Linked DNA regions of Rhinolophus ferrumequinum. The protein of the gene in region 4 purifies or fractionates together with the protein of the main gene of each other region. This does not show direct contact. Links are inferred from orthologs where the notes say so. Each region holds a gene or a part of one and is shown on either strand. Other genes may lie near its edges.

Evidence for each region.
Region 1: the proteins of AP1B1 (region 4) and AP1M2 purify together in Homo sapiens (affinity purification with mass spectrometry; 3 studies listed by BioGRID and IntAct, counting the BioPlex papers as one, with this or other methods). This does not show direct contact. The link is inferred for Rhinolophus ferrumequinum from reciprocal best matches to the Homo sapiens genes AP1B1 and AP1M2.
Region 2: the proteins of AP1B1 (region 4) and AP1S1 fractionate together in Homo sapiens (co-fractionation; 6 studies listed by BioGRID and IntAct, with this or other methods). This does not show direct contact. The link is inferred for Rhinolophus ferrumequinum from reciprocal best matches to the Homo sapiens genes AP1B1 and AP1S1.
Region 3: the proteins of AP1B1 (region 4) and AP1S2 purify together in Homo sapiens (affinity purification with mass spectrometry; 5 studies listed by BioGRID and IntAct, counting the BioPlex papers as one, with this or other methods). This does not show direct contact. The link is inferred for Rhinolophus ferrumequinum from reciprocal best matches to the Homo sapiens genes AP1B1 and AP1S2.

The regions. Positions count from the first base shown.
Region 1 is NC_046301.1:39,729,054-39,736,882, forward strand, and holds the start of AP1M2 (AP-1 complex subunit mu-2), read left to right. Parts: upstream 1-4,815; 5' UTR 4,816-4,931; coding exon 4,932-4,973; intron 4,974-6,166; coding exon 6,167-6,323; intron 6,324-6,556; coding exon 6,557-6,624; intron 6,625-7,829. UniProt on the Homo sapiens protein: Subunit of clathrin-associated adaptor protein complex 1 that plays a role in protein sorting in the trans-Golgi network (TGN) and endosomes.
Region 2 is NC_046290.1:91,232,443-91,239,364, forward strand, and holds the start of AP1S1 (AP-1 complex subunit sigma-1A), read left to right. Parts: upstream 1-3,908; 5' UTR 3,909-4,012; coding exon 4,013-4,015; intron 4,016-5,804; coding exon 5,805-5,983; intron 5,984-6,922. UniProt on the Homo sapiens protein: Subunit of clathrin-associated adaptor protein complex 1 that plays a role in protein sorting in the late-Golgi/trans-Golgi network (TGN) and/or endosomes.
Region 3 is NC_046284.1:114,702,754-114,709,717, reverse strand, and holds the start of AP1S2 (AP-1 complex subunit sigma-2), read right to left. Parts: upstream 3,014-6,964; 5' UTR 2,782-3,013; intron 670-2,781; coding exon 491-669; intron 1-490. UniProt on the Homo sapiens protein: Subunit of clathrin-associated adaptor protein complex 1 that plays a role in protein sorting in the late-Golgi/trans-Golgi network (TGN) and/or endosomes.
Region 4 is NC_046308.1:18,833,328-18,841,151, reverse strand, and holds the start of AP1B1 (AP-1 complex subunit beta-1), read left to right. Parts: upstream 1-4,821; 5' UTR 4,822-4,978; intron 4,979-7,824. UniProt on the Homo sapiens protein: Subunit of clathrin-associated adaptor protein complex 1 that plays a role in protein sorting in the late-Golgi/trans-Golgi network (TGN) and/or endosomes.

The DNA.
Region 1 (7,829 bases), on a different chromosome or scaffold from region 4:
AGTGCAACAGTATGAATGAATAAAAAATAAATAAATAAGCTTTATGCCCAGTGAAAAAGGCCAGACACCTTTGTGTGAAGTTCTAGAACAGGAATAACTAATTACTTTATGATACCAGAACATGATTAGCGGTTGCCTTTGCAGGAGGTAGTGACAGGCAGGGCCACGGGGTGGCTTCTAGGGGACTGGAAACAATATTGTGGTTACACAGATGGGTTCAGTTTGTGAGTTACTTGACTTTCTTATATGCTACATTTTAAAAATGGAAAATTTTAAAATAATTTAAGAAAGAAGGAAGTGGCTCTGCAGGTTATAACAAGAATTGATGTTTGTAGGGAGCTTATTCAGCATTAGGGGAGGAATTAAGTGCTTTATATTAAATCTTTATATCCATTTTCCAGTTGGGGAAAGGGACACAGAGAGGTTAGGCAACTTATTAAGTGCTTTTCATTAAATGCTTGCAACCATTTTCTAGCTGCGGAAAATGGCACAAGGAGGTTAATTTACCCACAGTCACAGTTGGTCGGCGTGGGGCTATACATGTCTTAGAGCCTGACTTCACAACCCACACGTGGTCCCTCAAGCACAACCCTGACAGTGTAGCCCAGCTGGGCTTCTAGGTCCTACTGGTGAGTAAAAATAGCAAGTGGTGTTTAGTGTTTAGTCATGTATGGTGAGAGAAAGAGAGAGAGAGAGAGAGAGAGAGAGAGAGAGAGAGAGAGAGAGAGAGAGAGAGAACATCACACACACAGGCGCGCACACACACACACACCTTCATGAAACTAAAGAGAAAAAGATCCGAACACTCCAGTGGTTGTTAGAGGGAGCAGGATGGAGTGGGGCCAGCAAAGGGGACAAGATTTTCTGATCTGTGTTCTCTCTCTCCCTTTTTTAATCGCAGGGACTATTTATTTGTTTCTCGGGTAATTAAAACCCTATTTCAAAAAAAATAGATTTAAACAAGCCAGTCACAAAAGGACAAATACTGTATGAATCCACTTACAGGAGGTTCCTAGAGGAGTCAAATCCATAGAGACAGGAGGAAGAGGATGGTGGTGCGCGGGGTTTGGGGAGGGGAGGGGAGTGAGTGTTTAATGGACAGAGTTTCAGTGTGGGAAGATGAGAAAATTCTGGAGATGGATGGTGGGCACGGTTACACAACAATGGCAATGTACTTAATGCCACAAAACTGTACATTTAAAATGAATAAAATGGTATGTTATGTATATTTTACCACAATAAAAGTTTTTAAAAAATAGATTTTAAAAAATAAGACGTAACACAGGTGACAGGGGACAGTTGGGAAAGCCCAGAGGAGGGATCTGACCTAGACGTAGCATGGGAGCTCAGAGAGGGTTTCCTGAAGCAGACACCTGAGAGCTGAGTGAGAATGAGGTACAGAAAGCAAAAAGGGGCAGGTATGCACTGAGCGGTCAGGTGCCAGAGGAAAGACAGAAGGACAGAGAGGAACTGACATTAGGGAAGTCAGTGTGTCTTGGGTCAGTGGGTTCAAGTGGTGCCTCATGGGAGAGGTCAGCAGGGGTCTAACTGTGCCAGGCAGGGCAGCTCTGAGCAATGGGGAGCCATAGTGGATGAGAGAGTGAGGGTGGGTGGTAAGAGCGGTGAGTTTCAGAGCGATTCCTTTAGTGGTGTAGAGAAGGGATTGAATGGGGTGCCTAGAAGCGGGAAGCCTGAGGGGAGGCTGGGCAGCCTATAGGCACAGAGGAGGAACTGGGGCAAGGCCACAGGCCCTTGGGACAGGGGAAGCTGCAGCTGAGGCGGGGCAGCTGCTTACACAGAGAAGCTCTGTTCTCTGACCCCACTGAAGCTTTTGGGCTCATAAATTTTTCAGCCAAACAGGTCTTGAGTTTCAGATTCCAGGGCGCCTGGCCCCAGCTTTTGCGTCCTATTTACTGCCTGAAAACATCCCAGGGCCCCAGGAGAAGGGCCCTTGTGAGGTTCCGTGATGCCAGGGCTGGGGCTGGCAACATGTGAAACCCCCGAGTCACCTTCTGAGCTTGGGACTGGTAGGATCATGGAGGACATCCCTCTTTTGGGCAGAGCCAGCATAAAACCTTGGGGTTTGCTGGGCTAGAATTCCAGCTCTGCCACTGCTAGCAGGTGACTTTGTATAAGTCGCTCACTCACTGAGCCTCAGTTTTTCTCTGTCAAATGATGATAATAGGTTTCCCTAATTCTAAGTGTTGTTTCTTGGAGGGGTTCCTGTATGGGAGACTGTGAGGGCAGCACCTGGGTAGAGTGAACCCCACAGAGGCCTGATCTATTGCTGGTCATAGTAATACTTGTACCCCACGATGCAGCAGAGCAGTTGGATGAAGGCTGGGACGCTGCTTATGAAGACTCAGATTCAAATTCTGACTCTGCTTCCAGGCTGTGTGGCCTTAAGCAAGTGGCTTCACCTCTCCCTGCCCCCGCTTCTTCTGATGTAAGAAGACCAGGTCTTCCTCTCAGGTCCTGAATTATCAGGAAAACCATAGTTGGGAAGACCAGAGTCAAAGACAGCAAAAAATAACAAACTTAAAAGAAAAAAAAAAAAAGACATGAAGAAGTACTGGAAGATAAGTGCCCAACGAATGTGCAGGACTGCCGTGGTTATTGTGTTATTGTCAACGACAGATGCCAGCGGTGGGGGAATGGGGAGCTCTGAGAGCCGCAGCTCTCTCTCTTCCTTCCCTCAAGTCCCCTGCAGGGATGCCCACTCCACCCCGCAGGGGCTGAGGAAGGTTTGGGGCTGGCTTTGGGGAAGGAGGAATGAGGCCTGGGAGAGCTGAGTGTCCTCCCCTGCAGGCCTGCAGGACGCTCTGTGAAGCAGGATTTGTCCCAGCCAGGCTGAGATTGAATTTCCCTTTTCTCTCCTCCCCCAAACTTCCCTGCAGACCACATCCCACAGTCATGGAGTGGAACCGGGGTCCACAGTAGTTGATGTGCAGGGAGAAGAGGCACTGTGCCAGGCATGAGTTATGCCCAGAAACTCAGTGAGCATAGCCTGTGGCAGCAACACCATGGCTGCTATGCCCATTCAACAGAAGGGAAGACTGAGGCACAAGCGGTGCAATCACTAACCCAATACTCCACAGTCAACAGTAGAGTCAGGATTCAAACCCAGCACCTGTGCTCTTAACTGCCATATAGTAAATACTAATAATTATAGCAAATAATAACAACATTATTAAGTGTCAGCTACATCCCAGGCATTGCCCCAAACATCATGTTGCATGTAAGAACTCATGCAATCTACATTATAACTTAATTAAGAACGTGCAGTTACCAGTTGTATTTCACAGATGTGCAAACTCAGATCCAGGGAGAGGAGGCCAGGTGCCTGAGGCCACCCAGCTGGTCCATTGCATACCCAGGACTTGAGCCCAAGCAGCTATAACAAGCGCTCAACAAGCATATATAAACAATATATAAACAACAACAAAAACAATATTGGTACCGGCTTTGTGCCAGGCTCTGCACTGGGAATCTTTCTCTTGGGTTGTCCCGATTCATTAGGTTGTAATGGAAATTTTTCAAATGCTAGCCCTTTCTCTGATCTCCCTGCCCACAGCCCCTTATTCATTCTCCAATGCGCACTCTCAAACCCTGCTGACAGTTCAGTTGCCTCATCATTCCCGTCCTCCCTCCTCTCCAGGGATCATCTTATTTTGGGGTTTTTATTTTTATATTTTATTTTTTAAAAGATTTTATTGGGGAAGGGGAACAGGACTTTATTGGGGAACAGTGTGTACTTCCAGGACTTTTCCCAAGTCAAGTTGTTGTCCTTTCAGTCTTAGTTGTGGAGGGCGCAGCTCAGCTCCAGGTCCAGTTGCCCTTGTTAGTTGCAGGGGGCGCTGCCCACCATCCCTTGTGGCAGTCGAGGAGTCGAACTGACAACCTTGTGGTTGAGAGCCCACTGGCCCATGTGGGAATCGAACCGGCAGCCTTCGGAGATAGGAGCTCGGAGCTCCCACCGCCTGAGCCACCGGGCCGGCCCAGGGTTTTTATGTTGTGTGTCTGTTGCCCTTCCTAGAATGAGAGCAGTGGAGTGGCTTTGTCTATGTCGCCATCCCTAGCACACAGAAGGTGCTCAATAAATACTCACTGAGTGAATCATCAACAGTATCATCACCATAATGAAAGAAGCTTCTATATGCTCAGTGCAGCACACAGTAGGTGCTCAATAAATGTTTGTTAAATGAATAATATTATCGTCATAATAGTAATAACCATTTATCTCTTCAACATTCTATCAACATCTTAACGTCACACAGTAGGAGCTTATAAATATTTTTGGAATGAATAAGAGTAACATTAGGATAATAATAAAAGCAGCTACATTTATCCTACTTGGAGTGCAACCCACAGTTCCTTTCACTGAGTGAAAGAATGTACTAGTGAGTAAATATCTGAGTGAAAGAATAATTCATAAATTTTTATTGTATGAATGAGTGAAAGAATGAATGATTTGGACAAATATTATTGAGCGCCCAGTGCTGGGCATTGGAGACACAGACGTGAACAGGACAAAGTCCCAGTCCTATTGGGGCTGACATGCGTGTAGGAAAGTCAGAGGAGGAATAAGATAAATGGATGGATGGGTGAAGGATGGACGCATGGATGAATGGATGGATGGACGCACGATGGATGCATGGATGCATGGATGGACGGTCTAGGGTTTCCACCCATCAGCACTCCTGGGTGTGATGGGAAAGTGAGGCAGGGCAGCGGTCCCTTCTGAAGCCCTGCCCCTTCCAGCCCCCGCATTCTTCTTGTACGCCGACAGCGCCGCTCACCTGGCGGCCTCCCCTTTAAGACTCACCTGTGCGCGCTCACCTGCGCGCGGGCGCTTCCGCAGGAAGAAGGAAGCAGCGCCGCAGTCGTCTCCTGACCTCCCTCCCCTCCTCCTAGATCTGCTCGCTGCCTCCATGTCTGCCTCGGCTGTCTTCATCCTCGACGTCAAGGGCAAGGTGAGGCTGGGTGCAGGGGTGGGGCGCAGGTGGGGGAAGCACAGGTGAGGCTGCGCTCCCCCGGACCCAGGGTCGGCTCCTCCGAGCAGGCAGGGAGGCCCCAGAAAGCCCTGGGGCTTGCGAACACTTCCTCCACCAATCCCGGGGAGTCCCCGGTACAATCCCATCTCCGCTGTTTACTAGCCGCGTACGTGAGGCAAGGGGCTTTGCCTCTCTAAGTCTCAGTCTCCCTATCCTTGGAAATGGGAATAACAGAGGTTCCCACCCCATAACAGTTAATACAACTGCGTGTAAACCACTTAGCACAGTAGTCTTGCTGCAAATATCAGACTTTCAAAGACAGAAATCGTTATTTCTATCACCATCATCATCCACAGTATTAATATTTGGGGAAAACAGCAGGAGCTGGGAGACCCTAATTCCCCTTTGGGGTTGCCTTGTCCCTTTCTGAGCACCCTCTCATTCATCTTGTCATTCAATAGCAATAATAACAGTGGTGGTGAAAATAACATTCCTGATAATAATAATAGTAAGAGCTAAGGTATTTGAGGACCTGCCGTGTACCCTCCCTGTTCTAAACACAGGACTAAACAACCTTACCAAGTAGATGCTATTATTATTGACTGCTTACTGCCTGCCAGACACATCTGTATGAGCTGAAAGAGAGATATGGGCGTACTTTTTTTTCTTTTCTTTCTGTTTGGCACAGTCTTTTTCTTTTACTTTTTTCTTTCTGTAATCTTTCTTTTTCTTTCTATAATCTCTCCTTCCTTTCATCTTTTTTTATCCCAACCTCACCAGTTTGGTGCATATGAAGTCCTGGGCAAGAGCAGGAGTTCTGGAGCCCGGGCACCCTGGTCCATCTCCCAGTTTCCCAGTTACTATGGACATGGTTCTTACTTCAGTTTCCCCATGTGTACATGTCTACCTTACAGGGTGTGGTGAGAACTTGATCAGCAAGCAAACATCCAGTCTTTAGTAGAACAGGACCTGGACCTCAGTGAGGGCTCTAGACACATTAGCTATGGTTATCATATACCCATTTCACAGAGAAGGAAACTGAGATGCAGAGAGGCAGAGCCTTGCTCAGGCCCCTCGACCAGGAAGTAAGGTCAGAACCAGGCACTCTGATGTCCCTGGGTGGAGGGTCCTGGGATCCCAGTGGTGACTGGACCTTCTCTGCCCACCCTTAGCCCCTGATCAGCCGCAACTACAAGGGCGATGTGGCCATGAGTGAGATAGAGCACTTCATGCCTCTGCTCATGCAGCGGGAGGAGGAGGGCGCCTTGGCCCCGCTGCTGAGCCATGGTCGGGTCCACTTCCTGTGGATCAAACACAGCAACCTCTACTGTATCCGGCTACAAGTGGGATCCGTGGGGGCTCAGGGTGTTGGCAGCTTAGACCCAGAGAGGGTAGGCTGAGGACAGCAGTTGCATCGCACATCGGTGGAAGCTCAGGCAAGAGTGGGGTGGAAATAGGCAGAGATGGGGGAGCTGATGGGGGTAGGGTGGGGGGTTCAGGATCTGTGTTCCATTTGATCCCTTTCCCAAATGGCACCTTTTTCTTAACCTCGCTGCCCACAGTGGTGGCCACCACGTTGAAGAACGCCAATGCCTCACTCGTGTACTCCTTCCTCTACAAGACAGTGGAGGTAGGTCCTGGCCTCCCATTGGCCTGCTGGTCTGTGTGTCCACCTGTCTTGCCTGCCTCTTTCAGGATCCATCTCTCATAAGAAGCTTTGCCTGACCTCCCTGGGGGTGCCCCCATCAAAGCCCCATCACTCTGTGTTCTCACTAGCTGCTATGGGATCATCTCTCTCTATAGGGCAGGGATCTAGGGGGTCATTGAGAGGGTGTCAGTGCTCATATATGAGTCAGAGGGAACTGGGTTCCAATCCCAGCTCCCTCCACTGCCTGGCTGTGTGACCTTGAGCAAGTCACTTCTCTCTATGCCTCTAAACTGGGGGTTACAACAAGTCCTGCCACAGTGTTGTACAAATTGATCAAATTCATACCTCTAATATGCCTAAAACAGTGCTCAGTATACAATAAGTGCTCAATAAAGGTTTGGTGTTGTTAGCTTTATCACTAATGTTATAAAATCATATAATGATTTATTGAGTGCTTACTATGTGCCATTCTCAATGACTGAGAAAATGCTTAGTCAATACTTTTTAACAAGAAATATCTATTGGTTTGTCTTTTCTCTGTCAGACAAAGAGCAGACACAGCTATGCATTTCCCTGTGTCCTGAGGAGACATAAAGGAGATCAAACAGGAGAATATTAAATCAGTGACCGGGATGTTAATGTCACCATAGCCTGACACTCATGGGAGGGGGCCTCACTGAGGAGGTGGTATTTGAGCTGGTTGACAAGCAGCCCTCTGTGAGGCAAGCTGGGGGAAGAGTGTCCCAGGCAGACAGAATGGCTTATGCAAAGGCCCTGGGGTAGGAATAGAAAGGTCAGTGAGATTGAAGCAGAATAAGGATTGGAGGGTGGTTCAAATCTTGGTGATTGACAGGTTTCTGCTATGGTTATGCCTACTAATTCCCAGGGGCTCCTAACTTGGGGTTCCCAAACCTCCACGGGCCTGTAGTTCATGAACTTAGTCATATTTATGTATAACAGATTTCCTTTGCCATTCTATTTTATTTTATGCATTTACAAATCTTATTCTGAGGTGGGTCTGTGAATGTCACCAGATGTCAGATATGCAGGGATCCATGGCCCGCAAAAAAACAACCGTAGTTCTGAGTCCTTCCATTTCCTCTTCTGGGAAGTTTTCCTGGAACTCCCCACCTCTGAGCTCCTACTTTCCTTGTGTTTTCCTCATTATTGTACCCAACATGTTGGAT
Region 2 (6,922 bases), on a different chromosome or scaffold from region 4:
TATTGAGTACCTAAGGAGAACAGACACCAAAAAGCTGAAACACTATGTGAGTCACTGCAGAAATGATTGAAAGGAACACTGTAGAAATGATCACCATTGAGCATAATGGCTCATCAGGAGCGGCTGCTTGATTGAAACTTAAAGGATGAGTAAGATAAATTTAGGTCCATGGGGAGGAAATTTATGTCCATGGCAGGGCATTGCAGAAAACAGTGTGAACAAAATCATAAAGTAAAAATAATAGCAAGTCAGGTTCAAGGAACACACCGGAGGATAAAATCCCAAGTCACCAGGTTGGTTAGCAGACTGCTGCCTTACTCCTCTGATTGCACAGCCAGAGGGAGTTGTCTCTCCCTCTCTTCCATTTACCCTCTCCTAGTCTGGTCAGGCAAGTCTTATCAGTGTCCCTTGAATAAGCCATGCTTTTATGTTGCCGTCATGTCCCAGATAGATAGTCCGTAAGCCTAGGAAAAACCAGTGACATTGACCACAATGGGAAAGCAAGAGATGGGATGGTTTCAGGAAAAGGTAGGAAGAAGGAACTCTTTTTGGCAAGTGAAGTTTGACATGACAATGGAATTTTCAAATGGGGATCCATTATACATTTATTCCACAAATATCAGATGCCCACTGTGCCAGGCATGGTAGAAACAGCAAAAGAAGACAGTTTATCATCTAGCAGGAATAATAGATAGTAAACATGTACTATTAAATATGAAAGTAAAATGTAGCATATTTTGGATAAGTAAGATTTAAATATCTAGATTTGACAACTATATATACGATCATAAATGAAGCCAATCAACAAGCACTGCACAGGGTGTTGTGAAGAAACAAAAATTGAATAAGACACCATCCAATGAGGAGCTTACAATCCAGCTGGAGAGATGAGACTGACACACATGAGACTGACACACACACGTGGCCAATGGACTATATGGCATGAGTGGTACCAATGGCAGTGTCATGTCCATGGAGGGCACTAGTGTGATTTGGGGCCACTCCACTGCTACCCCAGGAATCTGATTGTCTGACCCTCTGCCAGAGTCTCGCCTGCCCTCCATCGTCCCATCCCCACCTCATTCCCTCCTGGACCTGCTGGGTGCACAGATTGGCCAAGTCCAGCAGACATGCCCAGGCTATGGGTACAAAGAAAGCTGTAAAAGCCAATATCTGGACATTTTAAATGCTACACTAGGAGACTGTTCTAGCTCCCCTAGACTCATAAGGCAGATATTCCTAAACCCTAGGAAGGGGGTTTAGAACTTGGGAGGTGAAAAAGAATGGCAAACATCTACCACAGAAAGTATTTTTAATTGTCAGGACTGCTAGGAACATCATATAAGATCCCAACTGCTTGGTTAAAAAATATGAAAATCCAGAGATGACTGAAAATGACATTATTAGGGACCTATGAACTATTTAATGTGCAAAAAATAGGTGCAGAGAGCATCACTAGCGGGAGAAACTCAGATCACAGACTTATAGAGATGAAGGGCTTCAGAGGCCACCTGGGCCACTCTTCTAACCACTGCAGGAACCACCTCTCAACCAGATGAGGGAAGACACCAGGAGGTGTCAGCATGGTTTGTAGGGTGACAACACAAACACCGTCCGCATCTATAAGGAAGAAGCTCACCTCTTCCATTTTGCCATGTATACAAATGGCGCCACTTTGATTCTTCTCTACGTCGATGAGTTATCACTTTCAGTTGATTGGCCCGTTACAGGCATCCCTTCGATTTGTCCCTCTCCATCTCATCCTTGTGCCTGGACTCCCAAAATTGCCTCCTAGATGACCTTCTAGCCCTCCATTTGTCTTTTCAAATTGTCCCCCACATCAGTTTAAGATTAATTTTCTTAAAACTGTTTTCACCAAGTTATTCACTTGCCCAGATGACCATAATGACTCCCAAACTGCCACTGAATGAAATGTGAACTCATTTGAGGACACAAGCCATATTAGATCCACTAACTCATAGATCCTCTACATTCACTGATCATTAACAATGAAGAAATCCAGTCCAACGTCTTCTCACTAGTTTCAATCACTTGAATTCTATGATTCTACATGAGCTAAACCCTTATTTCTAACAATTCTCTCACGAATCTTATCTTTTCTGTAGCTAGGCATGCCACATTGAGACAAGGAATTCTAGAAAGTGCCAGCTTTCCCAGGAGTGTAGGAGTTTACATCTCTAGAGCTTCTAAACTTCCACAGGCTGTTGCCTCATTCTCTGCTTTATACTCTTCCCTCACTACTCATTACTTTCTTATACACAACCTCTCCTCACCCCTGTGAAAGAGAACACACCTCTTTTTACTTTGTTATGCCGTCTGCCCTTCTTACACACTCCGATTCCTTCTTTTCACTCCATAATGATTTACCCTTTCTAAATCTAACAATTTGCTTCATTGATATTATTCTTGATCTTAAAAAAAAAAACACACACCACAAGATAGTTCAACCAATGTCTATGCCATTGCCAAGACTAAGGTATAGGCAGAGGAGAAAGGGAGATGAAAAAAGAAAGGAAGAATAAAAAGTAGTAGGAGGAAGAAGTTGGGAAAGGGAAATAATGATAATTGCTGTCATTAGCAAGTGTTTAAAGTGTGCCAGGTACTTTCTATACATCCACAGAACCACCTGGCAACGTAGGTATTTCTATCCTCATGTTTAAAATGATGAAATGGAGAGTTAAATGACTCACCTGAGGCTAGTAAGGGTCAGAGACCAGATTGCATCCCAGGTGAATTAAGACCATCCTCTTGCAACTACAGCATAGTATCTCCATACCAGAGTAAGAAAAGAACATAAAGCGGAGACAGGTAAGATCTTACCAACAATTGCTTCAAGTGCCACTGAAAAATAACAGCACCATTACCGTGTTTCCCCGAAAATAAGACCTAGCCGGGGAATCAGCTCTAATGCGTCTTCTGGGGCAAAAATTAATATAAGACCCGGTCTTACATTACATTACATTATATAAGACCCAGTCTTACATTATAGCAAAATAAGACCGGGTCTTATATTAATTTTTGCCCCAGAAGACGCATTAGAGCTGATTCCCCGGCTAGGTCTTATTTTCGGGGAAACACGGTAGTTACCAACAATTATCTAGAAATAGCCATTAAGCTTTTAGCGTGACAAAGTTTAAGGTTTTCTCTTATATGCAAACTCCTTTATTATAGACACACACTGGCATACACACTCACACATGCACATCCTCAGCTAAAAAGCTTGTATTACAATTTACATGCTCCTGATCTTTACACTTGTGTCTGGATTATATCCGTTCCTTTTTAGTTTTGACCCATGCTAACATTTTAAGATTCTCTTTATTTCTCCCCTTTCTCCATAATTCATGTTTCTCCTCCCTTTCCTTACATCATTTTTATATCAGCTCTTCCTTTTATCTTTTATTCTCATCTCCCTCATTACCTACACATTTCTGTTACTTTAAGAGTGTGTTCACCTAGCAGGTAGATATCTATTTTGAGTTCTATACTTTCCTCACGTCTGCCCCCCCATCCTTTGTCTTTCAGTCTTCCTCGTCATTCCTCCTTCCCTACATCCAATTCCCACCCTGGTCCCTCTCAATCGCCCACATCCCTCTCATTAGCCCCTCCCCCTACTTCTTCACAAGCCCCAATGATCCTCCCATCCATCTCGCACCCCTTTTCCCGCCTTTTCCCCCCAAGGTTCCAAAGCGCGAGGACCTCATTGTCCTCCCCCATTCTCCATCCAGCCCACAGGACAGCCCTGTTACCATGACGACAGAGCTACTCAAAGCTGAAGTCAAGGACCTGGTTGCCATGGCTTTCGCTTTTCCGCCTCCATCCCCGCCCGCGCGCCCCGCAGCGTTGGCGCCTGCGCAGTGCTCATGTGAAGGGGCGGAACGGGGCGGAGCTTCAAGCCAGAGGGGCGGGAAGAAGGAAAAAGGATAAGAAAGGGAGTGGAGCTGGCACCTACGGTGGCCGGAGAGGGACGCGCCAAGCCGGAGGGTGCAGGATGGTAGGCTGTGCGAAAAGGGAGGGGAGGGGGAACCGAGGGGCGTGGGCTGCACCTGCGGGGGTCCTTGGGGGCCGCCGTTTGTGGGAGCCGCTCTTTCTTCCTCTGTTCCTCAGAGGCCCTCACTTTCCTGGGCGGGTGGGACAGCCGGCCTCGGAAAGGAGCAGCTGGAAATGGCTTTAGGGAGAAGGGGCGGGAAGAAGGCATATTAGTGGGACGAGAGGGGCTGATTTAGCGGTGGCTGGACCATCCCGAACCAGGGGGAGCGCACGGGTCGCGATCCAAGGCGTCTCGGCCACTGCCGCAGGGAAGTCGCCCGAGGAATAGGGGCACGAGGGCCTGTTGGCAGCGGGGGAGCGCGGGTCACACTCTGTCCCCGTGCGGTCCTGAAAGGAGTGGCGCCCGGTGGGGTTAGCCTTGTGTGGGAGGGCATAGTTTCCAGGTCCGAGGAGTGGACGTCCTGCCTCTGTTTATCCTCCGGCTCGCCTAGAGCCTGGGTGAGGTGGGGAAGCTAAGTGGGCTCGAGGTCTTGCTCGTGGGGACCCAGGCTTTGGAATCCCGACTCCGTGCTCTTTGCTCTCTGCCCCCACCCCATTCTCTTTCCGGAACCCCGGCCTTCCGTCTTCCTGCCCGCCCCTGCCCCCATCTTAGACGCGCACGGCTCTGTTGGGCCCCTCTGTTGCCTTCCCACTATGCCAGCAACGCTTCCCCTCCCTCAACACCAAAAAAACCTTGACTTCTGATCTTTAGCCCACTAAATTAGTACTGTTCCACACACCCAGGGATTCCGGCCCTGGTAATATCCGTGGAGAGGAGAACTGCAGGGAGAAGGCGATAACTCCGGGATGTGGCCTGGACCCCCTGGAACTGAGTAGCTGGGGACACACAGGGTATCGAGGGCTCTGCACCCTTCCCCGCTCTACCCAGCTTGGGCTTTGTTCCACAGACATTCCCTAGGAGAGCCGCCTTGGATTGCTGTCCTAACTGAGGAACTGAAAGGGAAATTGGTCACCTGGTATGGGGGGGGGGGGCAGTGAGCACGCAGGGAGAAGCACCATAAAAAGAAGAGAGGAGTATCAATGGCCAAATGTCTGAATGGCGAGGAGAGAGAAGGGTGGAATTTGGGGATCCCAGTGTCATGTGCTTATCTGAAGGGTACTCCTTGGCATAGGACTGCATGGGAGGGCAGCGTGACTAGCATGGAGTGGACAATTGAAGTAGCTTCTCCAGGGACAAAAATACCCGATTTTAGCATGGTGGTGGATAGAAGGGGCATGGAAGAAAGCAGACATCTCTTTGGCATCACTTATGGGCTACTTGTTTCTGTGCTAGGCACTTTACCTACTTGGGAAAAACGGTTAGGAAGCAGGAGATCAGAGAATAATAGTAGTGCTGCCTAATGTGTTACAGTGCTTACCATGCCCCAGGCACTATGCATATGTCATCTCATTGAATCCATCCTAACAGCTCTGTAAGGTAGGTAGTTATTATCTCCATCTTCACACAAGGAAACAGGTTCATCGACAAAGTAATTGTCCAAGGCAAATTATTTAACTAGTAGAGCCAGGATTTGAACCCAAATGGCAGACTCAGAAGCTCTGACACCACGCCCCCCACCAGAAGGAAAGGCACCAGCTGGTGGGAATACCCAGAGTTGGGAGCAATGGCTGATTTTTTAAAGAAAGTAGAAGCTGTGAGTGAAGAGTTAGATAGGATGAGGTTGGGGCTGTGTGTTTTTGAAAGCAAGAAACTCAGAGAACCAAATCTCTGCCTCTCCCCCCATACACACCAGATGCGATTCATGCTGCTGTTCAGCCGGCAGGGAAAGCTGAGGCTGCAAAAATGGTACCTGGCCACGTCAGACAAAGAGAGAAAGAAGATGGTTCGTGAGCTTATGCAGGTTGTTCTGGCTCGCAAGCCTAAGATGTGCAGCTTCCTGGAGTGGAGGGACCTCAAAGTCGTCTATAAGAGGTGACTCCCACCTACTTTCAGAGCTGCCTGGATCCTGCTTGATTGGGTCTGGCAATGGATTTAAATGGCTGATTAGTAAGTGGCCCCTAGGTCAGGGAGAACTGGGAGCGAAGGACATCTGGAGGGCAGTGATGAACTCCAGCTTCCTTTCCTTTTCACACTCACCTTGAAGAAAGTCCTGTTCCTTGGTTTTGCTCAAGTCTGACACCTACCACATACCTCCGTCCCAAAGTCCCTACATGTCTCTTGCTGTCTCATTCAACAGTCATAAATCCTGCGCCACTTTTATTTTTTTAAGATTTTTATTAAAATACAGCTAATGTACCTCATAGAAATTCAACAGTACCCACCTGGCACTATACAGAGTTATTACCACATTACTGATTATATTCCCTATGCTAAAGTGATCATAAGTCAGCCACCATCTGACACTGTACCACGCTATCACAATATCACTGACTATATTCCCTATGCTGTATATTACATCCCCAAGACTTGTTTGTTTTATACCTGGAACTTTAAACCTCTTATTCCCTTTTATCTTTTCCCCCCGTTTTTAAATTTTCAGTTACAGTTACATTCAATGTTATTTTATATTACATTTCAGGTATATAGCATCGTGGTTAGACATATAATTTACAAAGTGATCCCCCTGACTAGTACACTATACATAGTTATTACCATATTACCGACTCTATTCCCTATGCTTTGCTTTACATCCCCATAACTATTTCATAACTACCAGTTTGTATTTCTTAATCTCTTCAACTTTTTTACCCTGTCCCTAACCCTCTCCCATTTATCACCCCGATAGATCTAGTCCCCATCTGACACCATACATAGGTATTACAATGTTATTGACTACATTCCTTATGCTGGACCCTACATCCCCATAACTACTGTGTAACAACCAATTTGTACTTCTTAATCCCTTCCCCT
Region 3 (6,964 bases), on a different chromosome or scaffold from region 4:
ACATCTATATGACTGAAATGGTCTATGTATCCAAGGTGTTTATAAGTAAGATTCTAAAAGTCAGATAAAAGGCATGTCAATTAGCAGCCATTACTTTATAGATTTTGGGGGAAAAGGAAAGGGGGGTGAATGCTTGTCTAAATTTAGAGAATTACTCACACAATTTAAAATACTGATCCTATTTTCCCTTGCAAAGGAGTGAATTCATTGAATTTTTCTAAAAAGATGATTAAGCATGAATAATCATTTATGCTTTAATTATATAATTAGTTTTAAAACTACTTCTGTGATTTTATCATTTTAGCCTGGGTAATCAATCAAAACAGTTATTTTAAAAATACAAAGCTTTAACTTGAAACCGTTTTCATCTAAATCTTTCTTAATCCTTATTTATAAATGTCATCTCTCAAAAGCCTGCAATTTCCACATTACAAATGACCAAACACATTTGATTCTGCTATTTCACCTTTCTGAGAAATAAAAATCATACCTCTTGTAAACAATCTTCAGATCTCGCCACTCAAGAAAGCTGCACATTTTAGGTTTCCGAGCTAAAACGGTTTGAACAAGTTCTCTTGTGATCTTTTTCTTCTCTTTGTCTGATAGTGGGACATACCACTTCTGCAGTCGAAGCTTTCCCTGACGACTAAAAAGCAACATAAACTGCATCTGTTAAGATAAATAGAAACAAAATTACATGCAATACTTTGATACAATAAAGTTAAGATTAAGATAACATGTTTCATAGAGAAGCTTTGGGAGGGCAGGGTGTTTAACTGACAAATGATTAGTAGTCATCAACATTTCTAAGCCAGTTAAAGTAGCAAGAAATTCTTGTACAAAGATCTTCCCACCAAATGCAAATCTCCCCACTCCACCCTGTTCCACCTAAGTTTGGAGTCAGTAGAACATAAGAAACACAGGCATTAACTTGGAGTGAAAATTTTGAGGAAAAAGATTAACTTGCAATTTAAGAAACTATTGTCTACCTGTGCTATATTATATTCCACACTCTCCATGTGCATCAAAAGAGAATTGTTGACCTCAACTGGTTTAGGTGCATTTGAAAGAAACAGGAGATTTACCCTGAGGCTGTTCTAGTTCCAGGATGAATTATGTGTAGACAGACTACTATCACTTGGAATGCTCTCTTCGGTTTATGCTAACATGTTTTAAGCAAAACAAGACCTAAAATATTAACCAAGAAAAAACATCCCATAAACGCACATTTTTCTCAATAAAAGCCTAATTTTTAAGTATCTCTTCTCATCTTTTTAAAAATTCCAACATAAATATGCACATCATAAAGAAGTGGCAATGTAATATTATGAAAGAGAATATAAACCTTTAAAAAGCCAAAATAAGAGTTACACACATTCAGAGACATTACACGAAATATTTCATTTTAAAAAAAACACATAGCATTTACAGATGGAATGGATGCTGAATTCTAGTGTATTTTACATTTAAAATTATTTTGTATATAAAATCTGTTGATTAATCTACATGTTTAATCTTTAAGAAAAGCTTGTAATTCAACTGGTCTTCTCAACCGCAAACAGATAAGCATTGTTTCTACAGAGGTAATTTAAAAGTAGAATCCAGACAGGTATTTTTTTTCTTTGAACTATTGTAAGTTCCTTTAATAGTGTTACTGAAAATAAGAATCCAGCATGATTCTTAATATTCACCACACCATCTTGAATTTGAACATGGGGGTGGAAGAATTTACACAACCAATTTAGAATAAAATGGGCCCTACATCTCGCTAAGAAATTATTGCCGCTTTTTGCATTAATCCAAACAGGCATCAGCAAGACATTTAGAAATTTATGATGCGGCAATTTAACTTTATTAAAGTTAAAATTGTCTTATTACACCTCACTTAAAACGCTTCACTGCCACAAAATTAACGAACAATATTCGTGATATCAAAGTGCCTCCCATACAAGTCCTGTTAAGACAGCGGCATTCGAAGGGGACGGCAAGTAAAGCATCAACTGGACAACGTTTAATGCAAACCCGTTATCAGAAGTTGGAAAATAGACCCGTATTCCAGGATCTCGGTGACCAGGAGGGGTGGGGGTTTGCTTTCGAAAGGAATATCGGCTTCAAGGCTGTCTGTAGCAGGGTCCTGTATCCCTCTCCCTACCACTTTATAGGACAAATAAATAATTCACTCTTCAAAATAAATGATGTGCTAATATGGGACGATATTCGGTTGCAAGGCACAAGTATTCATTCCCTCTTGTTAAAAACTAATGCTTTGATTTTGCCGCAAATCACAGGCCACCTCAATTCCTCGAGATTGGTATTAAAAACAATGGGTTCAGCCACGGAGCGGGCTCGGGGCCAGCGTTCCTCGGACCGGCCGTCTCCAGTGCCTCCCCACCGCCCCACGGGGCCGCACTCCATCACTGACCGAGCCCAGGCGAGGTGACAGGAAAGGAGCGGAGCAGACAATGGCATCCGCCGCCGCGCAGCGAGCGCCAAGGGTCCTCGCCCGCCCCCGCCCCCGGCCCCTCCCGAAAATGCCCCGCAAAACTTGAGGGGATTCCGGAACCACAGGTGCCGCGGGGCCACCGCAGCGTCCGTGACTGGCCCCTTCATCCTGGGGCGCGGACGCCGAGAAAAGTGAGTTGCCCGGCGCCGCGCCCCAGTGGCGGACCAGGCGGGCGCGGGGTGGGGTCGTTGGGGCGCTCGCGGGGCGGCTGGGGGCGCGCCCAACCCTCCCACCCCACTCCCCGTCCCCGGCGCTCCTGTTCGCCTTTTGGGACTTACGGCGGCCGCAGGCCGCGGATGCGGCGAGGCTCGGCCGGCGGCGGCAACGGCCGAGGCTGAGGCTGAGGGGAAGCCCCTGTCGCTGAGCTGTGGAAGAGAAGCCGTGTTGCTTGTGGGGAGGGGACCCGGTTAGCGAAGGGAAGGCTTAGGCGGCGAGGGGAGGGCAGGCCGACAGACCCCGCCCCGGGGGCCGGACGAGGGAGGAGCCGGGGCTGCAGCGAGCGGAGGGGCGGGCTGGGAGACGCGCGGGAAGAAGCTCGGCTGTCACCAACGGCCCTGAAGGCAGCACAGCTGACCGCGCAGCCCGAGGAAGCCGATTGGCCGCGTCTCTACCAAGAGGGGTGGTCTGGACCGGAAGCCAGGCCACGTGACCCGGAAGCGGCTGCGGGGTGCCGGCGCGCCTGCGCACTTTTGGGTGTGCCTTTGAGACGCGCGGTGGGCTTCCCTGGCTGTTTGGGCGGCGGGAAGACAGCGTTCGGCCGGCGCCCTTTGTCGACCCTCCGGTGCTTTTTGTCGACCCCGCTGTGTGGGGTAGGGAAGGTTTGGACTGCGAAGAGCCAAGTTTCGAGTTCGGATAACTCTCCATGCCCCAAGAGGGTGGGACAGGGAGGCGTGACAGTTGCTGATTACGGTGAATGGAGAGGAGTGCTGCAACTCTGGGGAAAACAAGTCAGCTCTGCCTTGGAGCTCGGGCCTTTTGCAGTTATTCTGGCTCAAAACTGTCGGGAATCCGGCCCCTTCTTCCCTTCTACTGCTACATCCCTAGACACGTTTCACCCCAAGCTGTACAAGTGTCTCTACCCAGGGCTTACCTCGCCCATCCTCAGTGCTGAGGACCTGATGTCCATTCTCTGCTGAAAAGCCCAGACAGCACCTCCTCTTCGAAATCCCGCTTCCTTCATACGGAGAACCCCCCACACACACACAGCCGCCGGGGTTCCAGTTTAGCCTTGCTGACGACCTACTCTGCCTGGCATGCCCTTCCTCTCAAATGTCAATCTCCTATGAAGCCTCACCCTCAAACTCTGTAAGAACGAATCTCTTTCACCCACATGCCCATTAACCTCTGTTTAGCGCATCTTGAATTGTATTCATTTTTCCATTCCAGCCTTGTTCACTGCCTGGTATATAGCACAACTAATAAATTTGAGTTGACCGATAAAGGACTATAAAATGATAGATTTGTTAAGAGCCGTGGTACTGAGCATTGTTCCTAGCACCTAATGGATGTCCGTATTTTTTTGAATGAAAGAAAGGGTGAATCGTCTAGTCCGACTCTATCTTTTACAGATGAGGAAAGAGGAGCCCCACGGGATTAAGTGACCTTGCTTGAACAGACACGGGTTTCTCAAGTCGAAAGCTATTCATTACCCGTCACCAAGGTTCTTAAAAAGGAAGCTGGAAAATTGCTTTTGTTGAGTTACGTCCTTTTTGCGGAGGTTTCGAAACATAGTCGCCAGAATTTTTTAATGACTCAAAGTGAAAAAGAAATGCTAAGTTTTTCATGAAACTAAATGTAATCAATTTAAAGGAATCCTTTATTAGGGATGATGTTCTTTTTGCGTGTTAAAATGTCTATAAAACTAAGGTAGTACATAACACGGATTTGGGGACATTTTTTAGTGCCCTTATTTGGCAAAATAAAAAATGTATTATACCTCCTCTTTTAAGCATACTATGTTGCTTGGAAAATTTCCTACTAACATGTATGACTAATCTATACTGGAATATTGGAGGTAGTCCACCCAAAGCACAGCTGACTTTCTGTAGGTCTTTAGCCTCCCTGCCCAAATTTTTCTCTGCTCCCTGACCAATCTGCCCCAAAGGCACATATTAATGTTTCATTTCTCCCTTACTACACAAAACAGATGTCATGCCATGAAAACTCGCCCTCTGAATCCAAATGCTGCTTTTCTCTTTGTCTGTATAAAACATATATTCTCGAGCTTCCTGATGTAACCACCTCCAAGTTTAAACTCATTGGTCATGCTCCTAATGTTGGTCTCTTCTGAATATGAGGACGGAAGACTTGCTGCTGATATCGGCAGTCTCGTGTTCCTAAGGCAAGAAAAGGTGGGTGTTGGAGGTAGGAAGGGAAAGGAATTATGGGAAAAATAATTAGCGACTGAACGCAGCTATTACATAATCTTGGCTGCTTATTAATTTAGCAGAAGGAATGGCTTATTAAATTCTAATAGCAACGGCACAAATGCAAACAACCTAGCAATTAACAGTGCAGAGCCCATTGTTAATGTGTTCTCTTCTTTTGGCAAGTGTATAAGAACAAAATTTATAGAAGCAGATGGTCTTTTTTTAGTAGATTATAGATGGTTTATTCCCCAGTCTTAGTATTAAGTGCTAATTATGCATTCGCCATGAAAGACAAAAGAAGCTCTGTTACTATCTTTGTTAGTAGTTAACTGCTTGACTTTCATTCCCACAGTTTTTAAATTGTGGGCTTTGTTAATGCATGTTTTTCTCACCTAGTTTCTTATTCGCCTATCATGTGAAGAAGGTATCTTTTTAAATCTTCTGCTTTTGTTATCTGGGTGGTCCTGAATTCTTGGTTGTTAATGATGGCACAAAAATATTTTCCATGAAAAATTAAAAATCAGATTTTAGGTTTTTTGGGGGGTACAGGAGACATTTATTACAAAACCATTTTTCATGGAACAAGAACATGTAGTTTCTTGATTCAAGGCTGCCTGATGTTTCCCAATTTCAATGGCCCATGTAGATAAAGGAAAATTCAGCAAAGTCAGAAGAGAAAAGAACAGATTTATCCTTAAGTAGGAAAGATAACCCTGTCCCCCTGTACAGAAGGGGAAGAATTGAAGCGTTTCTGGTAACCTACCTTTTATTTATTTTTTTTAATTGAGATATAATTGGCATGTAATATTGTATTAGTTTCAGGTGTACAACATAATGATTTGATATTTATATGTATTGCAAAATGATCACCACAATAAGTTTAGTTAATATCACTTGTTTCTTAAAAAAAAAAAGTACCTAGCTTTCATTTATGCTAAATGCAAGAAGTGAGTGTGAAATAGGGCGTCTACCTTCTAACTATAAAGTTTTGAGACTTTTTATGTAATCTTTTAAAAGTTTTCAAAAATAGTTTTAGTTTCCTGTTAAATGTGGACGGCCATATGCTTTTTTTATCTCCTCTCCCTTTTTTAATTTTTTTTTAAATTAAAAAAAAAGAGGAAAGTTTGAAGTATCTATTCACATGGACAATGAGACAGGGGACATTAGCATGAGAATGTCAACAACCATGTCAGGGTACACTGTAGGCTCATTATTAAACACTGACAATTTAAGTAAAAATTATAATGTGTTTATATTGGGAATATTGAGGAACAGAAGTAGGGGATGTTGAAATATTGCTAATTTCTCACACACTGACAGTAAGAAAACATAACATCTAACATAAATCAAGAAATAGAATTATTGTTGTGTTCTTAGGTACCAGGAAGTAAATTCCAGAAGCAATGACTCTTTTTCCAGGGACAGAATCTTCGTAGGATTTAATAAAGGTTATTATTATATTTTACTTTAGTGCGGGTTTTACTTAGGTATTTTCAAAATGTTGTAGTAGATAAAAACCTTTCTGTTAGTGCTAACACTATATTGTAAACTCATGCAGAGTTCCTTTAATCTATACTGTATTCCTTAGAAATTGATTGCTAAGTAAAAATGCCTTGTAATGAAATTTAGTGCTGAATCAGTGATCACAATAAGTGTAAAAAAGATGCTTAGAGCTTGTGAATTTACATCTTCAACGATAAAGTTGTTTCTAAGAGAAAAGTGGCCTAAAATAATGAAGATTTGTTAACCAAAGCATCTCAAATAGAGCTGTCACTGCCAAAGTTCTCAACAATGAGCTAAAGAGAAATGTGTAACATATGCTCTTTCTTGAAGCCTGTTTCCATAGATTTCAATAAAATGCAGGAAAATGACTCTTCCCTTTTGATATTAGGTAAGAACAATGATTCTCAGCGTGGGCAATTTTGCCTCCCCCCCAATTCCTTCTCTCCCCCCTCCCCCCCCCCCCCCCCCCCCCCCCCGCCCCCGCCCCTGCAGCGGACACTTGGCAGTGTCTGGAGATACTTTGGTTGTCACAATGGGGAGGAGGAGGGTGTTGGTGATGGTGTTGCAATGTACAAGATAGCTCCCACCA
Region 4 (7,824 bases):
ATTGAAAACAGCGACTGGACTTGGAGCTGAGCTGCGCCCTCCACAACTAGATTGAAGGACAACGACTTGGAGCTGATGGGCCCTGGAGAAACACACTGTCCCCCAGTATTCCCCAATAAAATTTAAAAAAACAAAAGGTTAAAATGGTGGGGCAGCTGGTTGGTTAGAGCGTGGTGCTCTAGCAAGATTGCCAGTTCGATCCCCACATGGGCCACTGTGAGCTGTGCCCTCCACAACTAGACTGAAACAACTGCTTGACTTGGAATTGATGGGTCCTGGAAAAACACTTAAATAAATAAAAGTTTTTTTTTAAAATGGTTACAATGGTAAGTTTTATGTTATATACACTTTATCAAAATTCTAAAATTCCCTTACTATTGTTTTGGTGGGATTTCAGAAGGGAGCATAGTTACATGCATAGAAGTTTCAGGGATTATTTAGAAGAGAGTGTTTTATTTGCCAGGTGTAGTTGGTTTGCTGGTTTTATTATTTTTAGTGTTTTAGAGTGTCATCAAAGAATGATGTATTAATTCCAATTCTTCTATACTGGAGTCTATTGACATTTTCTTTGTGCCCTAATGCATGGCCTTTAATAATCACAGTCACTACTGCTTATTTAGTGCTTGCTGGGCATGGCTCTAAGAACATTACCTACAATATCCACTGTAATTCTCTTGACATCTGTGTAAGGGGACTAGTCCCATTTTCTAGTTGGGGAAGCTGAGGCTCAAAGAAGCTAAGTTATGTGTTCCCAGGTACATAGCCAGGAAGTGGCTGAGTTGAACTAATACTAATACAAATAGAAGCTCCCATTGAGGAAGGGGCTGTTTATAGGTTGCCAGGCACTGTAAGTTCTACAATTTAATCTCTTTAACAACTTTGCATGGACACCCAATCAGCCCCATTTTCCAAATTGGAAAGTGAGGTCCCACGGCTGGGAATTTGAACCCAGGCGGGGTTCAGAGGCTGGGCTTTTTCAATAGCACCAGCAAAGGGTGGTTCAGTCCTCTCAGGGGCAATTGAGAGGGGACAGCAGACCCTTTGAGAAATGGCCTATGGTGGCAATGGAGCCAGGAGAGGGTGAGCAGAATTTTGCTCCTGGGAAGAACAGGGATGGGGGAATGCGAGCGTTTGCAGCAGGGAGAAATGGGGGCAGAGGAGAGGTCCCGGGCAGCCTCTAGACCCCTCTGCCATGGGGGCTGTGCCAGGCCTGCCCTGGTTGGGAAGGATTTGGAGCTGTCCACCCTCAGCAGGTGGGGGGCTGGCCCTGTTAGTGAGGCTGTGGACAAAGTCACCTCCTGCCTCCTTCCAGAAAGGATCTGAGGCAACTTTTAGAAATTTGTAGGATAAAAACAGCAAGCAAGCAGAAAATGAAGGAGAGGAATAGAAATCACATAAGAAGAAGAATCTAGAAAGCAGGTCAGTACATAGAAAGTCATTCTGTGAGCTGCCTGTGGGAAAATTTCACCGGAAGGGAAGGGTGGCAATTAATGTCACCTGTGGGCCCTCTAGTGGGCAAAGATGGAAAGAATACTTAATTCAACATACAGTACTTAGTATTATGCATCAGTGTGGCGATAGAGTTAGAAGGATGGGCTCTGAGATTCTGTGTGTCAGAAAGAGAAAGGGACTTGCTGAAGCTCGCAGTAGCTGAAGCCCAGCAGCAGGTCCTGCGTCATTTCATGACATCACAAGTACTTCCAACCTTCCCCTGATTGGATGAAACGTCATGAAGCAGGTAAGCATGGGGCAAGGGGGAAAGCATGGACCCACTGTTCCCTCGTGAAGTTGGGAGAGTTCCTCAGCTTCTCAGGGCCTCAATGTAAAGTGGGGGTTATCATAGTGCCCACCACTTGAGAATGGTGATAGATGTCAAGAACATACAGTGGTACTTGTCCCAGGAGGGGTTCAGAGTTCTCCGAAAGGAGAAACTAAGGTCCAAAGAGGTTGACAAACCTGTCCAACGTCAGCCAACTCAATAGGGAAGGGAAGAAATGAATAGGGTTTGGAGAAAAGTTTTAAAACTTCCTCCTCCAGATAGGAGGGGATGTTATTGTTAGTAATGGTGTATTTGTCGGGAGAGGTTGTTTCTCTCTCCAAGTGGGCTTGACCGTCACTGGCTCTGCTCCACCCATCCTGGAGCAAGGGGCTCCTCCTGGGCCCGGGGTCTCAGAGGGCCTGTGTGGACTACACGTGCCCTAGATGTGACTGTTCTAGTTCTAGACACAGCTCTGAGTGTTTGATAGTGAGTGTGATTCGAGTAGGTGGCCAGCTGGATTCAGTGGTGGAGATGAAGAGGGAAGCCCCCGAGAAGCCTCTCTTCCCCACTTCTGTCTTCCACCTCTGCAGGCTGTAATTATCTAGCCTTTGGCATTGAGCTGTGTCTCTTATTAGTATTATATTTTTAGCTCTCCTGACAAACTGAGCTATGGGAGAGGAGGCCCAGGCCCACAGGGAAGTGGCGGAGAAATTGGCTTTGCCCACTGTCCTAAGTTTTCTCATCTTTACTTGGGGACAGTTGTGGAATCAAATTGTTAGGAGAGTTCAATGAGTTAATATGTAGAAGAGCCTAGTACAGTGCCTGGTTCATGGCAATTATTAGTAGTAGTAATATCATCCTTCACAGTTCAGGCTGGATGTCACCTCCTCCAGGAAGCCATCCCTGAGTTTCCCAGATTGAGTTTGGTGCCCAAGTCTCCTATACGTCCCTGGTCCTTCTGAGCTGTGTTATAATTGTCCTTTTATTTGCCTCTCTCCCACACTTAACAGTAGTCCCAAGGAGAGGTTGTACCACTTCGTGTTCACTGTTGTATCCCCAAAATGGCTGGCTCAGATAAGAGTGACAAATATATTTTAGGCGAGTGAGTAGGACTTATGAAGCACGTATTCTGGGGCTCTGGGACCAGTCCCTCAGCTCTGCCACTCAAACACTGACTTAAGCTTTTGGAGTTGCAGTTTGTCCCTACCCAGATAAAATGGGGCTGATGTGAGGAGCAAATGAGACCCTCTGCCTACCGACTACGGGCACATAAACATTCATTGTTGTTTTGCAAATTCAGATTAAATGCCCTCCAATTGTCCAGACCTCCCCTGGTCCTTTCAACCCTGGGGGAACTTTAGTTCCTGCTCTGGATTCCCATAGCCCCAGTGTATCCCCTATCACATTTGTGTCTGCAGCTCTGTTACTCTCCCTGGACAAACTGTAGGTTTAGCAAGGGTAGGGCCAATAATACCAGCACGGGCCAGGGAGCTGTGTCCTACACAATTAGACTGAGAAACAACGGCTTGAACCTGAGTGGGGCATTACAATATAGTCACAGGGATGTTAAGTACAGTGGAGGGAATATAGTGAATAATATCGCAATAACTATGTAATAGTGCTAGATGGGTACTAGACCAATTGCGGGGATCACTTTGTAAATTATATAAATGTCTTACCACTATGCTGTACACCTGAAACTAATACAAAATAATATTGAATGTCAACGCTAATTGAAAAATAAAAGTAAAAAGTATGTAAGAAAAAATAAAAATAATAAAATATTTTAGAAGACAAAGTTAGAGATGTGTACTTGTGTTTAATAAGGCCTTTTTGCTAATTAAAGTCTTTTATGCCCATAATGGTGTAATTAAAATGTTAAAATGTGATGCTCTCATTCTATTAATAGCAGTTTATCTTCCTGGAATTAAGATGTAAATAACAAACCCAAAAAACATTTACTTAAAATATTTTCTGGGTTAATTGCTTTAGCCCTGACTACTAAATTCTTTGTTCCTAAAACGAAAGAAAGAAAAAGGAAAGAGAAAGAAAGGGAAAAAAAAGAAAAAAACTATAAGGAGGAGAAAGTTAATAGAACAAGTGGGTAGTGAAGTGGCTATGGGAATCAAAGTCCTGGCAGAGCCAGCAAAAGGGAAATGGGGGGGCCGGCCCGGTGGCTCAGGCGGTTAGAGCTCCATGCTCCTAACTCCTAAGGCTGCCAGTTCGGTTCCCACATGGGCCAGTGGGCTCTCAACCACAAGGTTGCCAGTTCAATTCCTCAAGTCCCGCAAGTCCCTGCAACTAAGATTGAACACGGCACCTTGAGCTGAGCTGCCGCTGAGCTCCCGGATGGCTCAGTTGGTTGGAGTGCATCCTCTCAACCACAAGGTTGCCAGTTCAATTCCTCGAGTCGAGATGGTGGGCTGTGCCCCCTGCAACTAGCAATGGCAACTGGACCTGGAGCGGAGCTGTGCCCGACACAACTAAGACTGAAGGGGAACAGGACTTTATTGGGGAACAGTGTGTACTTCCAGGCCTGTTTTCCAAGTAAAGTTGTTGTCCTTTCAGTCCTAATGAAATCTTAAAAAAAAAAAAAAAAAAGGGGAAATGGGACATTATGAAGTTCTCTTTGGATAAAAGTTCCTTGGAGGGTCTAGTATTTTCCCCCTACAATGCAGAATTTCCAAAGGGCTGCACTGAAGGGGAACAAGCGCTAGACTAGACTTGTAGCTCTAGTTTTGACTCGTCCATTCATGAGGTGAGTGATCTTGAGCAAAACCCTGCCCCTCTCAGAGCCTCAGTTTTCCCCTCTGCAACACAGAAGGAAGAGATGGACCTCAAAGTCTCTACCCTTTTTTCCATCCACGTTAAATTACTGAGCGGTTAGGGGGCTAATTTTTCTCAGCGCTCTACAGGAGACATTGGCGAAGCCCTGCCGCGGCTAAGAAGGGGTTAATTCCGAACGGTTCCGCCCCCTTCTGGCCCCGCCCCGCGGACACCACCTCCCGCTAGGGTGACACCTTTGACCCCGCCCCCAGGCTGTGCGTCCACCGGAAGTGCCCGCGCGCGAGCAGCTCACTTCCGCTGGGCAGGTGACAGCCGCGGGGCTCGGAGCAGCTGGCGGCAGGGACGCACCGGGAGAGCGGGAGGACGAGGCCGCGGACATTTTGCTGCCCAGCCGAGCCGCGCTGTTTTGCCAAGAGCCGTTCGCACCTGCGGGTGAGGAAGCGGGGAGTCCGGCGAGGTTGGAGAAGAAGTGGGCGGGGAGTCGGGGGTCTGAGGTGAGGGGTGTACGGGGTCATAGGTCACGGAGGTGACGGGGCGCGCGCGAGGGGCGTAGAGTGGCTTCCCAGGCTCGGACGAGCCTGAAGGACTGCGGGTTCATTCATTCGCGCCTCCCTGGCCGCGGGCCTGCACTCCAGCCTCCTCAGGTCCGCAGCCCCTCCTGAGGTGTCCTCCCAGAGAGACTTCTAGACTTAGGCCCCGAGGAGCCTGCGCCGGGCCAGAAGGGAAACTCCCCTTCGGGTCCTCGTATCCTCCTTTGTACTCACCCCTCTGGCCATCCTGAGGCCTCCTCGTCGTTCAGGTCCTTATCTCTTTGCCAAGGTTCGAAAAGGGGGAAAAAAAAAAGAAATCAAGAAACAGCCGCCTGCTCCGTGGTGGCCTTGGGTTTGGTCTGTGTGTCGGTGTCTCATGGACAGGTTAACTGAGGGCATCTGTAATAAGACTAAGAATACGGAGGCAAAAGCTCGCTACTGGTTATTGAGCCCCTGCTGTGCGTCAGGCGCTGTGCTAAGTCCTCTACTTGCAAGGCAGCACATAAACTTCACAACGACTTGTGCGGTAGCAAGTGTTGTTATCCCCATTTTATCAGTGAGTAAACTGAGACCCAGAGAGGTTAAATCACACGTGGTAAGGTCAATCGGGTAGTACAGGCAGAGCCAGGGTTCCTACTCAGGTTTTCAGGGCCCCACAAAGTGCAGAGCAAAAAGACGCTGCATCAAGGTCGGGGTATAGGGGTTATTTAATATCTTTAATTATCATTATATTTCTTGGCACCTACGTAAAGATGTCGCCTTATTGCTTCTCATCTAACATTCTTAAGGGGCCTTTGATTCACCTTCTTGAGGACGAAACAGCCCTTCAGACTATTGCTGTGATAACCTTTCAGGGCCAGTGGAAGTTTTTCCTGACTCTTGGGAACCATGAGACACAAAACAAAAAATCCATGACTCTAATTTAAGACGATTCAGAAACTCTCCTTGAGAGGGGTTGAGCTGCACTCCTTTTGGAATAAAGAGACGAGCTACATGACCCCGAGGGGATCTTTTGGCCCTAGTTCTTGAACAACATTCTCAAAAGAAGGGTCTGTGTCCCTCAGAAAAGTGCCGGCCCCATAACTTTTTGGCTGGGGAAAGCACGTGTGGCCTGGGATACCGGGAGGTGGTTTGGTGGGCTGAGAACTGGGCTCTGTGAGGCTGCGCCTTCGTCCTGTACAGACACTTACTTGCTCCGCTTCTGTCTCACTTTCCCTGACGGTAGCATGAGAAAAACCTGCTGCCTTCCTACCCACTCCTGCGAGTTCCAAGACTTAATGAACCCGTGAAGGTTTCCACATGCCGCTGAAGAAAGCTGGGCTGTAAATACTACTGTAATACCTTTTTTTTTTAACTTTATGATCCGTTCTCCTAGTTGCACAGAATTCACAGAAACTTAATATTGTCACCTTATCCCTCTCCTTCCAAGAGAGGATTTGAGATGAAGGGACTTGTCACAGATGTAGGAACATGAGCAGAGCTCAGAGCATCTGACTCCCTGTCCCGAGTTGAGCCCACCAGGCTCCCCTGATCTCTTAGAAACTCGTGAAGAGCAGCTTCACTGGTTCTCAAAGACTCGGACCCCTCCGAGGTTATGTAGGGACGCTCTGCTGAGTGTGGGTTGAGCAGAGGGCTCGTGTATAATGGAAAACGCACTCCCATGTCCCCATCAGGGAACCCTGGGTCCCATCCCCAGCTCAGCAGATTCCTGGTAGTTTGCCCTGGGCAATTGATTGAGGCTGGGCCTCCCTTACCTCAGCTCTAAAATAATCCTGGCCGCCACTTTCCTTCCCCTGCCCCCAGCACTGGTGGGTATTGGGGTGAGATGAGGAAACTTGTACAGAGCCTGTTATTGTAGTGGGTGCCTTAACCCGAGGCAGTTGATGCCTGCTGGGGGCCTGTGCCTGGGGAAGGCTGTCACTCTGGTTTGTGGGGTGTTACTTACTTCTGCAAACAGAGATCTTTATATACACAGGACTTCTATCCTTCTGGTTTCACTTCCTAAAAGTTTTCAGAACAAGTGCAGTCTGTTAGTCCTGCTGGCTTTGGGCTTGGACTTACATCTTTTTCTAGTCATCCTCTGAAACTGTTGCAAGTCTTAATTGCTCACTTCCCAGAAAACCCCACCGCCCAGCCCCAAAGCCAGAGGTGCTGACAGTGTGCAAACATGGCTTGGGTATGGGTTTTGCTCTTTGGTGTGATTCTGTAAGCCGAGGGGGCCTCTGTTATTTGAAGATGTTTCTTTTTCTCAACAGGTCTTTTTAGCTAAGATAGGTCACGGATAAATTATCACAACCCAGAAATGGTTTTTGTATTCGTTTTCTCTTCACGCACAGAGGAACAAATAGCTCCAGAGAGAAAATGTCACTCGAGCACTTGGGGGATCCTTTTTAAAAAATCCTGCTTGCATATCCACGAGTGGTTCCTCTTTTCCCTCAGGCTAAACTCACATTCCTTAGCATTGCATCCAAGGCCTTTTGGGCCATGACCCCTGCCTGGCTCCTACTCCACGCTTCCACCTCCTCCCAGGCTCCAATCAAATTCAGCTGCTTTTCTGCAAAGCTCCAACTCTTTATACCTCTGTGGCTTTGCTTTCTGCTGTTCCCACTGCCTGAACACCATTTCCTGTGACCATCCTCCTTTGCTGGACCACTTGTTGGTGCCTCCCATCTGATCAATACCCCCTACCCTGCAGGCCTGAACTAGATGCTCTTCTTTGATGTGGCACTGTTCACAGTGGGTTGTTAT